Linked DNA regions of Drosophila melanogaster. The protein of the gene in region 2 interacts with the protein of the main gene of each other region in a biochemical or structural test. Each region holds a gene or a part of one and is shown on either strand. Other genes may lie near its edges.

Region 1 (9,856 bases), on a different chromosome or scaffold from region 2:
TTGTGCAGAGCGAGAAATTATTGAAGATTCAGAAACTATTACCAAGTAATTCGACTATTTTATGCATCGGATTGGTTTCGACTTAAAAGATAGAAAGATTTCTTTTCAGTGCAGTCCAGGCCACGTGTTCGCCACAATTGGTCATAGCAAACTGGGCTGATAATTAATGAACGTAATGAATATGCATAGCAGGGAGTTAGTTACGCGGCGAGAAAGGTCAAAGTGGGTGGCCATTTTTGGTCAAGCAACAGTTGGTGTCTGTCTAGACTTCACGATGAGGCAAGGTCATGCTGACTACCTAGGAAATTCGTCTTCATACCATGTACATACACATATACATAATAGTTATAACATATATCAATTTAGAACATATTCAACACCCTATTTTTGAGTCGTAAGCGACAACAACTATTCATTCCGCCTCTCATATTGTGCCATATAATCAAAGGATAACACGGGTTGCCCCCTCACTTACTTAATGGTGGTAATGTCACGTTCTCGTCCTGGTCGAGAGTCAAAATCTGTATATGAGTGCGGCTCACATTGTGCGGCGGAATCAACAGTTGGTGCGTATACCACACGTATTTTTCGTGGCGCATTTGGGGCGGTGGAAACTCTCGATTTCACTGTACTTCGGCACACAAGTCACGAGCAGGCGGCAATCGCTCCCATTGCTCCAGTGTGCGTATGTTGCGTATACGCATGGCTGTCACTCGAAGGATACGAGCTCCCCGCTCCCTGTCCATACTTTAATTTCAACCCATCCCAGAGGATAGCATTTTTCTCATGCTTCGGCAATGAGGCAAACACGAGGGCGTACACGCAGCGAAAATTTGAAGTCAATTGGAGTGGTTTGACCTACAAATAACGTGTGAAATACTATTGAAACCCAAAGGTTTTTAGAGCTACACTTACGTGGAATGCGAAGTAATTTCAATTTTCATTGGTTTGCAGTTAGAAGTCTAACTTGGTCTGAGTATTTTCTCGATGTGTATTAACGGGATGCTGTCGCTGGCGCTTCGCTTGGTCGGCTGCTCCAGCTGCTCCAGTCGCATTTCGCATCTGAAAGCGCCCGCAAGTAGGTTACACATTTTTTCGTCGAGCAAAACAAACAGCGCACCTCTGCCCGCCGTCCAGCTCATCCGATCCCGATCCCATTGGCCACAGACGAACTGAGTAAGTGGAACTAACTAACAAAATCCAGCACCGAAATCGGTTGGCCACGGATGACACCGCTTTGGTCGCGGTGCCTGGGATTAGGTGGGCTATTCTCGCAGGGGGGGTGGCATTCGTTGGGGGTGTGTCATTGGGGCAACACAAAGAATAGTGAAAGTGCAGTGGGAGCGAGCGAGAGGCAAGAGGTCGAGAGTTGAAAGGACAGGCAGAGAGTTGCGACTAATTGAGTTATAGGAAAAGAGTACCCACATGTATGTACCTAGACTTTTGCAAACGAAAATTAAAATTAAAAAAATTAATAGTGCTTAAATGTACGGTTGTAATGTAATGCGTACTTACCATTCGAATTTAGTTTATATTTTAAATCATCGAGATCTATTAGTAATAATATTATTAATAAGCTCCTCCCATAGATCTTCTTTACCATCCGCAGACAATTCGGCGATTGCAGCGGCTGTGACACCATGGAGTACAAGATGATTGCACCGGAGCACAGTGAACAGGTGATGGAGCATCTGCGGCGCAACTTCTTTGCCGACGAGCCGCTAAACAAGGCCGCCGGCTTGTGCCAGAACGGCAGCAGTTGCCCCGCCCTGGAGGCGCACTGTGCCGAGGCCATACAGCACCGGATGAGCGTGATGGCTGTGGACGCAAAGGAGAAGGATACCTTGAAAATAGTCGGCGTCGTCCTCAATGGCATCCTGAAGCCGGGCGACACGGCCAAGGCGCTGAGCAAGCTGGACTGCAACGACGATGCAGATTTCCGCAAGATTTTCGACTTGCTGCACAGGCACAATCTCAAGCACAATCTCTTCGAGCACTTCGACGTGGACTGCATGTTCGATGTGCGCATCCTATCGGTGGACTCGTGCTACCGTGGCCAGGGGATTGCGAATGAGCTGGTCAAGCGGTCCGTGGCGGTGGCCAAAAAGAATGGCTTTCGCCTGCTGAAGGCCGATGCCACCGGCATCTTCTCGCAGAAGATCTTTCGTTCCCATGGCTTTGAGGTCTTCTCGGAGCAACCCTACAGCAAGTATACGGATGAGAATGGCAAGGTGATCTTGCCCGTGGAGGCGCCCCACATCAAATTGCAGCAGCTCTACAAGGCGATCTGCGCGGATGACCAGGATGAGAAGAAGCAGTCGCTTTAAGGAGTCACCCGGCTGGCTCACATTTGGAACAATAATCTCATTTATTTTCTACATATACATACATTGCATAATCGTTATTGGAATGTTTTCGTACTACAAATATGGAAATTAGTTGGGGGGCGTTTAACGGAAAGTTAAAGCTAGGGAACAATTACTATTGTTCTGTGTTTAAACATAACTATGAAATAACATTGGATTTTCGGACTTTCCGTCGACGGTTTTTGGAGCGTCAATGGAACGCCTCTATAATGTACGAGTAGACGCTGCCTGGCACGTTTACATAAATATAATTTTGTAATTGTTTTTTTTTGTATGGGGACCAACTGCTAACAATACCTAAATAAAGTACACTGTTGTGCCAAAGTTAACCAGACAGCTTTTTCTCTTACCTCCCACTCGAAGTCCCCCCCTACAAGGTCTCCTCCTAAAGTCCTAATATCACAAGCGCAGATTCCAATCATCCGTTCTCATCACCTGGCAACCTGGCGACGGCAGGTACTTCTGTTCATCTGTTCATCAATTCATCTGTTCATTTGTTCATCTGTTCCGCTGGTTTATCCATCTACTACTCCCTAGTTTCCTTCTTCTCGTATATGAAAATGATGTCCTCGTCCGTGCCGTAGGCGCGTCGGGCCGTGTCCATGGACTCGATGAGGCAGCGACAAATGTCTGTGGAACGCAGCCAAAAACGAAAATCAATGAATTTTCAAGGATTGCTACCAAATGGAATACTCACGGCCATCGTGGACCTCGGGATTGTGGTAGAAGAGCTTCTGGGCGGCCATGTCATATCCGCAGAGCACCACATAGTGTCCGGCATACCTTTTGGGTCCATGGAGGCGTGTATTTTGAGCAATGCAGGGTATATGAAAACAGCTTTTCATTCGAGTGTGGATTTAAGGTGGTTTTTTGTGAATCGCCGGTGGCAAGAGGAACTCACCCGAACTTCTCTAGGACATTGCGCTTGCACACCTCGCACGTGAGCAGCGAGGCGTTGGTCAGCAGGATGACGGGTCCGTGGCGGGCCAAATGCCGCAGAATGACCTCCATGTCCACGGTGCGCTGTTCAACGCGCAGTCCATGGGCCCGGGCGTCCTTGAACTTGCGCGTCACGCGCCGTTCGTCCTTGTCGATGATCTTGGAGTAGTACGTGTGCTGCGCGTAGTTGGGATCGATCCCGAGCGTTTGGGTGAAGTACTCGTGGCGCACCTGGCCAAGAAGAGAGTGTCAAAGAAGTGAGCGAATGCAAATGTGCATCACGGCATGCCCACCTGGTAGCGCATCAGCAGATAGCACAGGTCGATGGTCCAGGTGCTCGAGCCAAATCCCTCCTCGCCGCACACGGCATCAAAGTTCCCAAGAAGCTGTTCCCTTTGCTGCGCCGACAGGATCATAATGATGCAGGACAGACCGCAGTCCCAGTTGTAGCGCTGCTGGTAGTGCGTCAGGTTGTAGTGCTTGCTCGGCGGCAGTCCGTTCATTCTGGCCAGCAGCTGGGCTCTTCTTGGCTTCTTGTGCTCCTCGGGTCCTCGAGTCCTTGGCTCCGTGTGCTTCGCGTGCTCCTGTGCCCGCGGCTGCGCTCCTTTGATCCTGGCGTCCAATTGGAAACTGAACTGGGAATGTTTTGGTCTAACAGCTTGGGCCAGTGTGGCCAGGTGCAGCTGTCTGCGGAATGCCAACTGTCGGCTATGTCCAGTTGAAAAAAATGCCAATTGAATTTTTTTAGATATATATTGTAAATATTGTAATTAAATAATATTTATACATAAATTGTGAGTCGCCAAAGGAGTTAGATGTATTTTCCTACAAATCTTGGTTGCTGCTAGGAAATTTTTGGTTTGAAATCTTAAAGGCGCAAAAAATGTTCTAACACTATGTAAATCCTTCTTAAGCCCTTCAAAATTGACAGTTCAGTTAGAATTACCTGCAATTTTAAGACTAAATAACTACTGGCAATTGGTATAAATTTAAATGCAACTGTACGCGAAACTTCAAACATGTATGAAACGATCTGGCAACGTCGAGCTAACTGCATGCAATTTGGCATCGATGTGCCCGATGCACTCCCCCTGATAGTTTCAGCGGGAAACTAAGAGTCCCATTCTAGAATCATCCCCCAAGGACGAAAACATCCCAAATCTCCCTAAAAAAAAAAACAAAAAGCAAGGAATCGAGTAAACACGTTCCACCACCGCTGTGGCAATCCGTGGCTGGTGCGCAACGGCCACACTGACGCGCTGACCAATTTTTAGTTATTAGTGTGACCTTAAGCATTATTATTTTCACGTGTGGCACGCAAACGAGCCAAAAAACCAAGCGCCTATTTAAACAAACAAATCACACGCCCAGCAGAGAGAGCAGCCGGTGACCACCGGTAACGGGAGTAGCTGCAGTTAATCCGACAGGCCCAACAAATTCGCCCGCTAATTGGCGGCGTTTCTCTAGTCGGAACAACAAGAAGAAGAAGCACGTGTGCGGCGTGCCAAAGAAAAAAGGAAAATAAACAAGGAGGCCAGGCCAAGGAGCATAAGCAGAATCCGCATCCGGAGGACATGGTGCCCATCGGAGCCGTGCACGGCGGCCATCCCGGCGTAGTGCATCCGCCACAGCAACCACTGCCCACGGCGCCCAGCGGCCCAAACTCGCTGCAGCCGAACTCGGTGGGCCAGCCGGGGGCCACCACCTCCTCGAACAGCAGCGCCTCCAACAAGAGCTCGCTATCCGTCAAGCCCAACTACACGCTCAAGTTCACGCTGGCCGGGCACACCAAGGCGGTGTCGGCGGTCAAGTTCAGTCCGAATGGCGAGTGGCTGGCCAGCTCCTGTAAGTACATACATCCCTATCCACGAATATCTGGGGGGGAATTTTATGGTACTGAACTGCTATTGGACTGAACAGGCAGCTTTGGCAGCTCAGTTAATGGGAATTGGGATGAAATAAGATCTCGGAAAAGAGAAGAAGCATTTATAGAATACATATTGTACATTCCATACATACAGCACATGCCTATTAAACTTCCACTTCTAACCCTCAGCCGCTGATAAACTAATCAAAATCTGGGGAGCATACGATGGCAAGTTCGAGAAGACCATTTCGGGCCACAAGCTGGGCATCAGCGATGTGGCCTGGAGCTCAGACTCGCGACTCCTCGTGAGCGGCAGTGATGACAAGACGCTCAAGGTCTGGGAGCTGAGCACCGGGAAGAGCTTGAAAACTCTGAAGGGCCACAGCAACTATGTGTTCTGCTGCAACTTTAATCCGCAGTCCAATCTGATCGTCTCCGGCAGCTTCGACGAGAGCGTTCGCATATGGGATGTGCGCACCGGCAAGTGTCTGAAGACTCTACCCGCCCATTCCGATCCCGTTTCGGCGGTACATTTCAATCGCGACGGATCGCTGATCGTGAGCAGCAGCTACGACGGCCTCTGTCGCATATGGGACACGGCCAGTGGACAGTGCTTGAAAACCCTGATCGACGACGACAATCCGCCCGTCAGCTTTGTAAAGTTCTCGCCCAATGGCAAGTACATTTTGGCCGCCACGCTGGATAATACGCTCAAGTTGTGGGACTACTCGAAGGGCAAGTGCCTGAAGACGTATACGGGTCACAAGAATGAGAAGTACTGCATATTCGCCAACTTCTCGGTGACGGGAGGAAAGGTGAGTTCATATCTTATGCACATTTAGGCTTTAACTCACAAGCGTCCATTGTAGTGGATCGTGAGTGGCAGCGAGGACAACATGGTCTACATTTGGAATCTGCAGAGCAAGGAGGTGGTGCAAAAGCTGCAGGGACACACCGATACCGTTCTGTGCACCGCCTGCCATCCCACGGAGAACATCATTGCTTCCGCGGCGCTCGAGAACGACAAGACCATCAAGCTGTGGAAGTCGGATACATAGAGTGGCTGGTATCCAGCTGGAGGACGTTCGATCGGAACACACACATACATTTCTTGGATAATATTATTTTAAAGCGAACAGCCTAATCGTAATTGTAACACCCCCACACCCCCCCACCACGAGCCCCCTTTTTTTTTTGTACGCATAATTTAAAAAAGAAAAGGAACTCTAAAATTCTACGTTTAAATCACACTTTAAACCTCACATTCTACGGCAAAACGGAAAAATTACAAACAAACAAACAAAAACAAAAAAAAAAAACAACAAAAAGTGAAAACAAAAAAAACGATTAATGTATAAATATTTATTAGCCTATTGTATTGGCCCACCATGCAAGCGAGAATATTCCCCCAAAATTGTTTGTAACCTTTGACACAGCCACGCAAACCAACATAACTTATAATGATCTTTCGGTGACGAGAAAACTAAATTTAAGCGTAAAAGATACAACAGGTGCTCGGGGCAGAATCCCAGCGCCAGAAAGAATATATATAAAATACGAAATGTAAATTTTGAATAAAAGAAAACACCGTCTCGGCGGCGCCCAAGTGTCCTTTCAACTTGCGCGCTTTTCGAGGCGAGACACTTAAATGTACAAATTGCATTTTATTCACATAATAAGAGAAGTTTTAATTCTAAAAAAACATACAGTTTAGCAAAATTACGAAACAAACGAACCTTCATTACGGTTTAAAAGCGATAATAAGTACGTTTAATATATTACGGTTTTTAAATGAATGAACACAGGTATAATACTTAACGTAGACGTTTTCTTTAAGTTATTTATTTTTAAACTCTAGCGCCTATTGGAGTGCGACCCTGCGTTGAGTTCGGTTGAAGAGGGCCACACTGCCCGTTCAGTTTGAACGTTTGCCACTGGATTTCGACAACGGCGCGCGACGGTCACTTGGCGAAACGAAAATCGAAAAAACCGACGAATCGAAACTCGGAGATCACGGATTCGATTCACTTGATTCAGAACCTTGCCGAATCCGAATGCCCCTGCGATGCGCGCGCCAACCCGCTGAACAAAAGTCGCCAAGTGAATTTTGCAATTAATTTGCAAATCAATATCGCTCCGCCGCCGTCGCGCACACACACACACACGCAAGCACCCGCACCGCGCACACATACACACACACACACACACATAGGGACCGCGACACGCATAGTGAGAAAGAAGTGGCAATATAAGCAAAAAAAAGAAAAAAAATACAACGGTCGTGGGAAAATCGATTTTCCTTTTAAACAAATCGCTGTTAGCTTGAGCTTTTCCAAGCGCCTCTGCTGCAATTCCTTCGTTTTTTTTTCCTGTGCAAAGTACGCCGAGAGAGCGGCGTGAACCGGTGCAGAGAGAGAGAGATTAAGTGAGAAGGGGTGAGAGAGTGGAAGAAGGTGTTCATTGGCAGAAAATTAGCAAGGCGACAAACGTTTATAAATATAAACACATATATTCCAATATAAAAATCGCAAATATTAATGACGAGACAAGAGCGCCTGCAACAACAGCAACAACTGCAACAACAGCAGCCCAGCAACCAGGGATTCTAATTCGAAAATAACCCAAACAAATCCAAATCGGCGGGAGCGACAAGGAGGAGAGGAGAGTGCTAAAGAGAGGCGCCAACAAAAGTGTATCATTTAGGAGCGGCACACCCAAGAACGCGGAAAACTCCCGCCCACCCTCGCCACGCCCCTCGCCGACCAGCACACCCATTACCAATACCAATAACAGCAATAATAACAACAACAACAATAACAACAACAGTCTGCAGTGAAGAAACGCAGAGGAAAAGACAGGCGGAGACAGATATAAAACCCAAACATTCGGACACTCGCTCTTCTTCTTCCCAATCCGTTTTGGCATGGAAAACATGGTGAGCAAAGAAAAGCAAGTTGTTAACTTTTCAGGGGCGTAAATCGACAGGGGTTAAGCGCTAATATTCATCGAGCTAAATGTCCGCTTGACGAACTAGTTTAATGAGCTTAACTACCCAATTATTAAACCCATTTAACTGCGCCCTTGGCTAGCCACCCCCCTCACTTTCGACGCCCTTGGACCGCCTATTAGCACATTTCGGTTAACAGCAGTTGTTGTCGCCGTGTGTGTACATATGTGCACAGTGGCGGGCAAGAAAGTAGGTCCTAAGTACAGAGATTTCCAATAATTGCGAGCAGTGTCTTAACTACTGTCCTTACCCGCCCATGTCCTTATTACTTAAGATGAGCAGCATTACCAAATCAGACATTGACAGTACTTTAGTCTTAGACTTTGCATCACAGCCGTGTCTGTTTGGCGCACTGCTCGCGTGTTTTTGTGTAATTTCGCTCCCATGTGGCAATGTGACCTGTTAACTTGGAAAGTTACCCGGTGGATCTCGTGACTCTCGTCTACATCCAATATTCATAGCCAGCGGCGAATGTCCTTGAGCAAGGGGTTGGCCCCCATTTTAACCCCCCGATGGGCGCAGCAGGGCGTGCGCCTAACCCTTATGCCGCCGCTCCCTCGATGACGTACAGTCAACACGGCGATTGAAAGAACGCAGGATGTTTATGATGCTTATGATGCTTATGATGTGCATATGTGCATAACATAAATATATATTCCCAACGAATCCATTGACTACTCAGCGATGCAAACAAAGTTAGCAACGTATTTAGGGCGCAAGAACGGTTTCCGTTGAACGGAAACGTTGACTTTAGCAAACAATTGGGATTGTATTTCGGTTTCAAATAAACATACATAAAGTAGGTTTCCAAGATTCTTAGGCCCTAAGCTAGGTGATACTTTTAGTAAACGTTGATAAACACGAATGAGGAGCAACGACCATATAATGTCCTCCTAAGACAACGCCAACAGCAACTTGATCCGCTGCACTTTCTGTCGAGCTGCTGCAGATAAGGAGAAATGTAGGCTTTAGCTGGTAAACAAACTGGAAAACAGTAGAATGTGGCACACCTTTGTGGCGCGCTTACTTTGCCGACGAAGGAACTTTCCGTTTAGCTCTGGCTACTATATTTGCCATTGTGTTTACTCGGCGGACTGCTCTGTGCAATCCAGTTGTCCATTTGCCCTAATCGAAGGGGATGGGCCAACCGTTTGCATGGCCCCTTTTGTAACTGCCGGCCACATTTTACTTGTGGCCACCATAAGCGAGTGGCTGATTGCGTGCTCTGCTCGCGCTTATCTACGCACGGACACAGACGCATGTTTGTCGCTGTTTGCTCAGTCCATTGCGATAAGCGATTTGGTTCTCTGCTTTTGGTCTCTGGTCTCTTTTGTTTCTTTTGTGCCAGCCGTCGATTTGTGGCCAAAAGGCTGGTGCCTGCGCTGCTTAGTGGGCTGGTGACATAGCATGTGTGGTGCTCGGTCCATGTCCTTGTTGCTATTTTGCCTCACCTCCTGACCTGGCCATGATGTCATGTCGATGGTAGCACGTGCCTGACCCACTGCTAATGTGCGCTCCTAGTTTTCGACATGCAATTATCGTATCCGTCCATCTGCTCCGGTTCTAGCGACGCCAATGAACTAGGCATACAACGAATTGCCATCTGATATGAAGTCCATTTGCATGATGTCTCCAGCTCTGTCCAGACCCATGATGATGTCATACTGACCGACCCAC
Region 2 (10,238 bases):
CCTGGCATTCGAATACACGCCATTGCGATTATCCGGAGATTATCCTTACCTTGGTGTTGGCGGCGGGGCGTCCCAACTCGAACTTGCGCTTCTTGCGGAGCGACTTGCGCTTGCCTCCGGTGGCCCGGCGTTTGTGTGCACTATCGCGGCTAATACCTGGTGATTGAGAAATAGGTCCATGTTAGTACAAGGCGCACGGAAAAGTCGAAAAAAAACCAAGAACATGGGCACGTTTGGGGGCGCACTAAAAAGAGCCGCACCAAGTTAAATTCACGGATATTTATTTAAATTCACACATTCCCCGTTGCTTTTTTCTCGATGCTGTTGTAAACGTACTTTGTGCGCACTTTCATGGTGTTTGCAGGCCGTATTGAGCCCATTTTCTTGATATTTCGACGCAATTTGCGAGAGTCGACTTACCCATGTTCGAGTAAAAAGCGAGAAAGAAAGGAAAAGACACGCACAGCACCTCGTGTCAAAAAAGTAGGGTTATCTTTTTGACAGTTGCCGCGGTTGGGCAACTCTGCGCTGTTAGCGCGCGCTCTACAGTACACTCGGTGCTGTTACATTAATTCAAATATTAATTTTTAGCACCTGGAATCAGTGAAATTTAGTTAAAAATGTATGAAGCAATGTGAAACCAATTATTTTTATGAGCCATAGTGGTAGATTGTATTTACTAATATCTAATTATATTGCTTTACAATTAAGATATATATCAGGACATGTATTTTGGAATACAACAGGAGCACTTATTTAATTATAAACTTAACATTTGAGAATACCACTACTGCTGTCGAAATATATTACCCGTTGAATAAGGTGTGGCCAGCTTGCGTTCGTAACAGCTCGGTAAAATGTTAGCTTGTGGCTTCGCGCACACGGTCACACCCTCATTTTGCACCGAAAATAAAAGCAATTTGATAAATAAACGCGACAATTGCCACCAAATTGGCCAGGAGCAGGCGAAACTGCAACTCCCGGATTTGCGGAAGCAGCTATGGTTGGGAAAAACTTCAAGGCTCTAGCGCACTTCCACCGACTGACCGAGTACATAGTTCAGTGCAAACACTGCGAGAAGACATTGTCCTCCAAACACACATCCTCCAACTTGACGCGCCACTTAATCCGGAACCACAAGCTCTTGGCCCGATCAATTTTTGCCGGCGAGGAGGGTAAGATGCTGGCGGAGCTGAAGGACGAGCTGGAAGCCTCCGCCTCCGAGGACCTGAGCATGGAGCTCGGAGAGGGCGAGACCAAGTCGGCGGTGCGCGGCATCATGAACGCGAAGCTCGAACAAGAGCAGATGGAGCGGCACAGCCAGGAGGAGATGCGCAACAAGGTCATTGGGAAGAACAATAAACTGTGGGCGCACTTTATCCGCATCTCCGAATTCATGGCCAAATGTATGCACTGCGGCAAGACGCTCTCCTCGAAGCACTCGTCCTCCAATCTGATGCGACACATTGTGCGTCGTCACACCAGCCTGGCCAAGACGCTGAATCACTCGCACCAGCACCTCATGACACCCAAGAAGGACTCCTACGCCAGCCTGGAGCGTAGGCAGGCGGCTGATCCCCTGGAGAAAGTCAACTTTGACGATGTGGACAGCATCATCGAAAAGGTGGCCGATCACCTTGAAGAAGAGGTTTGTCCACGGACCACTTCCGCTCCCCTACCCACATTTAGCCTCTACATGCTTTCGATCTTTGATTTAAGGTCACTTCGATTTCGCTGCAGGAACCCTTCTACGAGTACGTTGTGGACAACTCGGACTCCGTGGTGGTGGACAGGTGCGATGAGCCGGAGCCGGCGGAGATGCAGAACATGATTCCGCAGGACAGCGCCTCGCTGGCGGAGTCCACCACACAGCTGGACGAGAAGCTCAAGGCGGAAACGATATACTACAACGAGATGGCCGAGTTGGCCAGGGCCAAGCGGCGGCTCATTGATCTGCAGACCAAAAAGCTTCTCCTGGACATGAACGTAGTGGACAACTAGCCCATCGACGATTGGAACGGCTTGTGTTTGTAGGTGGATAAGGCGGGCAATATGATTATTTACACTTAGGTATGATTATACTTTAAACGATTTTATGATCTGAGCATTTATTGTGCGGGGGATTAATTTCCACGAGGGAAGGGCATAGAAATTGAAAGAGAAGTAATTTGGCCATTGCATGTTATTCTTATGTCCTTTTATTAATTTATATATTATTTGTAAAAAGTGCCGGCTTAAAAGCGATCATTTCAGCTCGTAAATAAACTTCACCGTTACGCTTAGAGTTAGTAACAAACTGTAGCTCAATTATGTGTTATTAATATGCTTAATCTAGGATTCTACTCATTGTAACTAAACGCACATTCAATAGTGAGCACTGTACTTAAACGGTGGGAAATACCGGATATTTGCACTACAAGATTAATAATTATGTTGCGGTCACACTCCTCGATAACTTCCAATATCGAAGTAGGTTGTGTCAGTTATCGCTAGAAAGCAGGCAGAGATTTGTTTACTTCTGCGAAGATTAATTCAGCAGAAGCACGGAAATACGGATCCTTAATCATGACTAGATATTCACGTAAAAACCAGGCCTTGCTTCAACTCCCCGTTCCTTGGAGAACAGGAACGTAAAACCGGCCTATAAGGGTATGTTAGCCGGGTATCTGGTGCACCCACATTATTAAGTTGAGACCCCTCTTAGTTTCCTAGGGCTTGGAACGGAGGGGGAAAGTGATACTTCAAACGTGTCAAGGAGTAGGGTAGAACGCTCTTGATGTGTTCAGCGCAGAGCACCAATCAGTAGCGATCAGCAGCAACGTAAGCGAAACGGACCATCGGACTCAAATGGGAAGAATCACAAACGGAGATGCAGATGCATCTGTCTATTTAGGCCTGGAAGTACAAGGAGTTGATCCAGGACAACCCGACAATGGCCCTGGTAGACGAGCGCCACGCAGACGGCTGCTTGCTCTTCGAAAAGTGGTGTCAGATCGAGGCGAGGCTGGCTCGCATTGTGGCGGATAGACGGGCGGCGGTGCCTCAAGGACCTCACCCGTTGCTTGACTCCTCATTTGTTATTCGAGGACACCGGATGATCAGGTGCTAGGACGGCTTCTCTAAGATCTTCCTAGAGGATTGCATTGAGCAATTAGCCGACGCATGGGATGGACTATGCATTAAGCTTGTTCACGCCAGCGAAATACCCAGTTCAAGTCAAGCGGCCCGTTTTGTTCATCAAGTAAGTAAGAGCTTTTCCTGTTTGTACAAAGACAATACAGTTTATGAAATAAATAAACGATTGAAGGAACGAATTTGGATTGTTTTTAAATTCCGCCCTGGTTTGCGCCACCGCTGATTGTCTATCATGGGTTGCAACCACGTGGAACTACAGTTATTTTTAGGCCTTTTTTCGCGCTTCGATGGTAAACACATTTTGTTTATTGCTTAGCTCTGAGAAACCAAGACGCAATAATTGACAAAATGTCCAGTATTTGGACAAAAAGGAAGGACTCTTTCTGCAATAACGAAAATATAAGGGCTCAGAAGTTCGAGGATGTGATTGTAATCGATGACAATGGTAAGTCGTGTGTTGTCAGCCTTCTCGATGCTAACTGCTACACTTGGTCCTTCAAGATCGTGGCGACTCTCTCCGGAGTGTAAAATCCGAGCCCCCTGAAGAAAAGCCCCGCTTATCTCCACAGGACGCTAATCAAAAACGTGCAGTAAAGGAGGAGAAGGAAATGTCCAGGCGCGCACGCGCTCGAGCCAAGAAAATACGGAATACAGAGGCAAGAGCAGCGAAATCGGTGGTTACCAGGGGTGCGGGTAAAAAAGCAAGGAAGCGTAAGAAGCAAAATAAAGCGGCACTCAAGAAGGCTAGTGAACTTGAACCCAAAAAGGCAAAGGGCTCCAAGGAGGCTAGTGCCCACAAGAAGGCAAAGGGACCCAAGAATACAAGTCCTCCTATGGCTGCGAAGCCCAATTTGGCAAAGAGTGACAACCTGACGATGGCCCTGGTGGACGAGCTCCACGAAGACGGCCGTCTGCTTAACGAAAGGTGGCAGGAGGTCGAGGCCCAGCTGGCGTACATGGTGACTGACAGAGTCATGGCCATGCCGGGGGGTCCCGTCCCGTCCTTCGATAGCTCAGACGTAGTTCGTGGCCACCGAGTGATCCGGTGCGAAGACGGATTTTCAAAGGTATTCCTGTCGGACTGTGTTGCCGCGATTAGCAACTCGTGGCATGACATGCGCATCAAGCTCGTCCATGTCAGCGATGTACCATTTGCGCCTCAGGCGCGCATCTGGTTGCCCACGGGTCAAACGGACCACAACCGGATCATGATCTGCTTGAGAGCCCAGAACCTAAATGTGGACATGTCGGACTGGTCCATCCTCAGGGCGGAGGAAGTCATGGAGATCAGTCAGAGTTTCCTGCTCCTTATCAACCGGAGGTGCATCCCGCAACTGGATGCAGTGGACTACAAGTTGCGCTATGGCATACGAATGGCCCAGATCCAGCTCATTTTAAGCGAAGCAGACGATTTGCCATCGGAGTTCGACAACTACCACCCATTTTGCCATTTTCCCCATTAAACCATAAATCCTCAGGCTCTAAGCTATGTTTATTAGAGTAATAATATTGTTAGAGAAAGAAACGAATTTCATAACCTAATAAATCTCCAATTGGTTTTAGATGCCAACTTAGACAGCATTTTTATCAAATTTAACCTTAATCTTAAGATATTTTTAAATATAGAAACTCAACATGGGAGGTGGGATACCCTCTTTTGGTTCATGGCGATGCTGACTGGTTGGCAAGCGTGACAACGTGTGGGGTATTTATGCTCTACTTTGCTGTGGTCACACTGTTTCCACAGCATTTTATTTCATTTCGCTTCGTCTGAAAAATCAGAGAACAATTTCTAAAAAGCGGCAAAAATCTTGAAAGGACGATGTCCAGCTTTTCGCCAAACCAATTGCGGCAGTGCGCCCGCTTCACCGGCACGCCCTGCACTCCGGACAAGGAGCACCAGCTGCGGGAGCAGATCCACAGCGAGCTGGTCAAGATTAAGTACTGCGCCAATCCCACCTACGAGTGCAGCCTGATGCGGATCGAGGGCTACGAGTATTGCATCCGACACATCCTGCGCGACCCGCGCTCCAACTTCCGACAGTGCTCGCACGTCTACTCGAACGGCAGGAAGTGCATCAACGCGGTGGCCAAGTATGACAACAAGAAGGAGCTGATCCTGACGACCCTCTGCTTCGAGCACAACCGGCAGACGCAGCTGCAGAAGACGCACATGAATGTGGGCCGCATTCGCAGCCGGGTGGAGACCAACGAGACCCTGCTGCACAGCCTCTCATCGCACATTAATGTGGAGGACATAAAGCCAGAGGTGAAAAAGATCGAACGCGATGATGATGAAATCGATGTGGTCTCACCCCACGTGACGCCATTTGGTATGTCTTGCTGACTATAAACCGAGCTGAAATCTAATTTTCCTCACTTCTAGTCACTCAGGATCACCGCAATTCCATAGGACATGTTGTGGAGAGCTCTCGCAAGCGACGTCGCATTTTGGATTATGCTTCCGATAGTTCCAGCAACGATGCAGATCCGCCCTGTCTCAGGAACACCGCCCAGGACATTGAGTTTTACGAATCTGACCATGAGAGTATCGATTCGGAGGATGATGATCCTTTGAAGTAAGATTTGATTTATTCGTAGCACTATTTTTTAAGGAAATTTTAATTTTTTCTTCTCCCTTGTAGACACGCTGGCGTCTTTACACGCGCAGAGGCAGTAAAGATTGCCGAAACGAAGCTGATCAAGCTTCAGGGTCTTTACCGCGAGCAGATTTCATATCTGCAGAACGTGCTGAGGCAGCGACGTCGCAAGTATTTGCACGATATACGACGCGAGCGAGAGCTATATTGTAAGTTTCACTTGCCTTTAGGTATGCAGGATAATGTGTCTTATGCCACACTTTCAGGCAGCATTCACGATCAGCTAAAGGACACGCCACACGAGCGAAAGCTGTACGAGCAGCTAAAGGCGCTGAATAGCTATCATCGACGCCAGGGCGTCGAGGCGGTGCTCTACAAGAAACTGAAGGAGAAGCGAGCTCGCGACGCCTTGTACGCAGCCAAGTCGTCGAGCAACCCGAAGTGCGTCTTCACCGAAGGCGGTGTCAAGTGTGGTGAGCGAACGCTGCCCTGCTGCAAGCACTGCCGCAAGCACATTCTGGAGGATAAGCGCCAGGTGCTGTTCCGAGCCTGCGGCGTGGAGCGGAGTGGGGTGGTCTGCCAGGAGCCAGTGGCTAGCATTCTCGAAGACTCCAGTTGCGTACTGCACCTGACCGTGGCGCCGGCTAAGCGCCAGTATATACAAAAGGTGCGTTGATCAAACACTAACCCAACCCACGCCATAACCACCACAAGTAACTGCTTATATATTCCAACTGTCCACTCACCCATTGCCATAAGTTGTGTTGCACATGACTGCTGAAACTATAGTAAGCCAACTGTAAGACAGTTCGAACAAACAATACTGCGTAACTAGTATTTAGGCTTGATTTGTAGTAAAGCTAAGTATATCTAGAGAAACAACACGAAACACATGTATATAAGTGCTAGTACTGTCTAAGCAAGCCCTTTGTGATCGACCCTGAATAAATTGCCGACCTCTCATCCCCCAGTTTTATGAAGTTCCCAGCACTCCGCCGGTAGAAAGTATTTTCGCAGCAGGCCGTGGTCTCGATAACTTTGTCGGAGAAGACCCACGGAATGAGCCGCAGCCGGAGGGGGATGACCTCTTGGATTTTGCCAATGGTATATTCGATTTTGACCTTGACGGAGTTGACGATCTGGCAAACTCCCTCGACGATGATTACTCCATGTTCCTGGACATGGACAGTGACCTGGGCTTAGCCATTGAAGATGACGGTGTGGAGAGCGATCCTGTAGACTTAGGCCTCGAGGAGGAGGGCGATGGCGGGTCCAACGACTCAGTTGGTCCAGCTGAAAGTCAGGCTCAAGATAACCTCATCGCAGACAACTTTGAGTTAGAAGAACCATCCGTGCAAGACAATAACGAACTTAACTTTGATATCGACGAGTCGGAGAGCAATGTGAACGAAGTGTTGCGCTTGCTCGAGGGCATAGAACACATGCCCTGGTTCGATGCCCTCATGAACTAGTCTAATAGCGTAGTAAACGTAATAACCCACCATACTAACCCAAATCCAGAAAAAAGCCCAAAGTATCTCTTCTTCTCATGCTTGCAATTCCCTTTACTTCACAGAAATGCGAATCGGAGACCGAGGAGGAGGAGACCCAGTCCACCAGCTTGATTAGCACCATAAAAAAGGAGGAGGAGGACCCCTCGGATAAGCTGTATACGAGTCAAGCCCTCAACGTGACCACCGCACATGGCGAAGACAACAAGGGCGACGTGAAGCCCAGGGAGTACGCCCCAAACAGATCTTAAACTAATTTTTAAGCCCTCGTAGATTAAATGTTTACTGTTGCAATCATAGAAACCTAGATATAAATCTCCGACACGAAAATGTCAGTTGGTTTTGTACTCAGCCATTGTAGTTTTTGGTGCATTCGGGTGTAAGGAACCCCTAATAAATAGGCACTCTTAAGTTAAAAATCTATTTATTTACATTTATTGGCTTTCCATAGTTTATACAACTTAAACAGTTTATATTAATGCATGTACATGTTTTCAACAATTCCTAAAGAAAACGACTGCGTCTGGCAGTTTCGTAAGTGTGTGGGAAGTATGCACTCTGCGTTCGCTTAAATATAATGACTGTAATTATTTGATCTTAAGCACGGTTAAATATATTAGTTATCAGTTCCTCCATTCTGCATCTCCGCTCAGGTATTTACAGATTGCTCGTGCTATGATCATAAATTGATGGCAACCGCTCTCGTTGTTAAAATGCACTATTAAAATTACAAATTGGCAGCTAAGTATATTAACAAGTCTGTAAAATGTATCGAAACCAGAATATTCCTAGTGTATTCCCTACAGTTCCGTAGTTGTTTCCACCTCCGACCTATCCAGATCGTTTAGATATGAGAACCCTATTTGGCCATAGTCCCTCTTCCCGAAGGACACGTTCTCATTGGTGCTGCTCAGGTGGTTGTGATCGGAATTGGATCTGCAGGATAGAGGGTGTTACCAATTATAGTTATAGTTATAAACTAGGAAGTAAGCTATGCATACCTTTGAAACAGCGGGTTGGTGATGGGCACCTCTCCGCCGTACAGGCGATTGTTGAGCTGGCCATTCCGACCCAGCGTGGCGTTCATCAGCTCCCCGTTGCCATTGAGCAATCCCACGTCGCCGAAGGTGTTTCCCCGCCTGCCCATGGTGCTGTAGGCATTGTTCTTGGCATGGGCCATGTTGTTGGGCCCAGTTGGGTCTATGTTGTAGGCGCCGTTCTGGTAGTGGTTGCTGTTCTGGTGCTTGATGCGGCCCAAAGTCAGGGTGCCCGAGAGGGCTCCGTTCGGCGGAGATGCCAGCGGATTGGCGTTGTTGCGGGTGTTCATCTCCAGGGTTCTATTGAAGGTGTTCTGCCTGTTGTTGATGGCCAGATTGTTGTTCATGCTGGCGTTATTGAGATTCTTATGGCGGCGCAGAGTGGCAATCGTGGCCGTGGTGGCATCCGAGTGGGAGGGACTGGACTGGCCACCGCCGTTGGTGTTCTCCTTGTGCGTTATGTAGCTAACATTGTCCAGCGAGAAGGCATGGTTCTTGGCACTAAAGTCCAGCTGCAGATCATCGTCCACATCCGGTGGCACTGCCATGGCCAGCATCTGGGTCTCGTACTCCTTCATGTTGGCTATGGTTTCGCTGGCACTCGAGGCCTGCTGGTTAACGATCACGGGATCGTAGCGGGGAGGATTCGTGGAGGAGTACTGGCGCATCCGCTGCTTGAAGTTCTTGTACCTATAAAGAGCAAGTGTGTATGCAAAGATTTAAGTAAAAGTAAATAGAGGTTACATGTTATCCACTCACTTTGACCAAGAGATGCATATGTAAATGATGCCAATCGTGCCCAGGATGAGTATAACAAGTGATATGGCAATCAGAGTGAAGGGGAAGACTTCGTTGTCGATGGCTACGGCGGCTTTGACCTGGAAGTGCCAAAGCTATATATAGTATATCCTAAGAAAAAGTAGTAGTAGAATTAGTTGCCCACCTTGTGAACGTGCTCCTTCCTCTCCAGGGGAAACGATATATTCTCGGCTGTGGCTCGCGGCAGGGCTATGTTCAGCTCCGATCGCGCAGCCGGTTCCAGTAAAGTGGTCTCCACAATGCTGTCCTTACGGCTGACGAGCTGCTCCGTCTTGGGATCGATGAGGTAGAACCATATGTCCGTAGCAGCCGGGTTCTCGATCACCGATCCGTTCTTGGCCAGGTACTTCTGGCTGCTCATCCGTTCAATGCCGCTGACCAGGCCGGTCTTCTTGTCCAGCAGCTCCTCCAGCTCCGTGTAGTAGTTGCGGAGATCGCTGGGCGCTGCATTCGGGAAGGATAGCGCCATGCGGTTGATGTCCGCCAGCTTATTGACCACTATCCTGGCCCTCGTGCGATGGGATCCCTGCTCCTGGCCATCGCTATCACGGGCTTCCACCAAAAAGGTGAGTGGAAAGTCGTTTTCGTTCTTGAAGTGCTTGGCAGTTCGTAGAACTCCAGTGTCTTCGGACATCATGAAGAAGCTGGTGGGCTGGAAACATCATATGATAATTATCAAAAAAAAAAATTCATTGCCTAATGTAGAGTATAGATTTCTCACCATGTTAACCCGGTTTTCATCGTCGTCGTAGAGAGTGTAGCGAACGGTTCCAAATTTCCCCGAATCACGATCTGTGGCTCGCACCTGCAAAATGGTTGTGTCAACATCCATTTCCTCCGTCACCACCGTGTAGAAGGTGTCTTGCTGGCCGCGCAGCCTGTTAAACTCGAACTCCGGTGCGTTGTCGTTCTCGTCCTGGACTATGATCTCCACGCTGGTGGTGTCCTTCAGGGGATTGACGAAGTAGCGATGCGATGTCAGGCGCAACTGGAGGCTGTACGAGCTCTTGTTCTCGAAGTCCAAAGGTTGGATGAGCAGTAAGTTACAGCCATGATCGGCGGAGCTCAGATTGAAGATGCCCCCCCCGTTGCCACTGACGAATTCACACCTGAATGCCGGCGGCCCGTCGCCAGAC

Evidence for each region.
Region 1: the proteins of dgt1 (region 2) and wds form a complex in vitro, tested with the Drosophila melanogaster proteins (one study listed by BioGRID).

What each region holds. Positions count from the first base shown.
Region 1 is NC_004354.4:2,581,400-2,591,255, forward strand, and holds wds (will die slowly), read left to right. Parts: upstream 1-4,580; 5' UTR 4,581-4,879; coding exon 4,880-5,150; intron 5,151-5,361; coding exon 5,362-5,987; intron 5,988-6,041; coding exon 6,042-6,230; 3' UTR 6,231-6,818; downstream 6,819-9,856. Other genes in the region: AANATL7 (arylalkylamine N-acetyltransferase-like 7), read left to right, coding at 1,641-2,327; CG13760 (uncharacterized protein), read right to left, coding at 2,893-2,996, 3,064-3,203, 3,268-3,536, 3,599-3,808.
Region 2 is NT_033777.3:29,852,117-29,862,354, reverse strand, and holds dgt1 (dim gamma-tubulin 1), read left to right. Parts: upstream 1-4,863; 5' UTR 4,864-4,957; coding exon 4,958-5,468; intron 5,469-5,521; coding exon 5,522-5,714; intron 5,715-5,780; coding exon 5,781-5,944; intron 5,945-6,001; coding exon 6,002-6,402; coding exon of another isoform or gene 6,403-6,411; exon of another isoform or gene 6,412-6,706; coding exon 6,707-7,207; 3' UTR 7,208-7,225; intron 7,226-7,311; coding exon of another isoform or gene 7,312-7,497; 3' UTR 7,498-7,660; downstream 7,661-10,238. Other genes in the region: RpS8 (ribosomal protein S8), read right to left, coding at 50-156, 421-424; CG15514 (uncharacterized protein), read left to right, coding at 1,001-1,648, 1,720-2,001; CG7824 (uncharacterized protein), read left to right, coding at 3,484-3,580, 3,637-4,598; Cad99C (cadherin 99C), read right to left, coding at 8,047-8,182, 8,248-8,973, 9,043-9,161, 9,227-9,754, 9,824-10,238.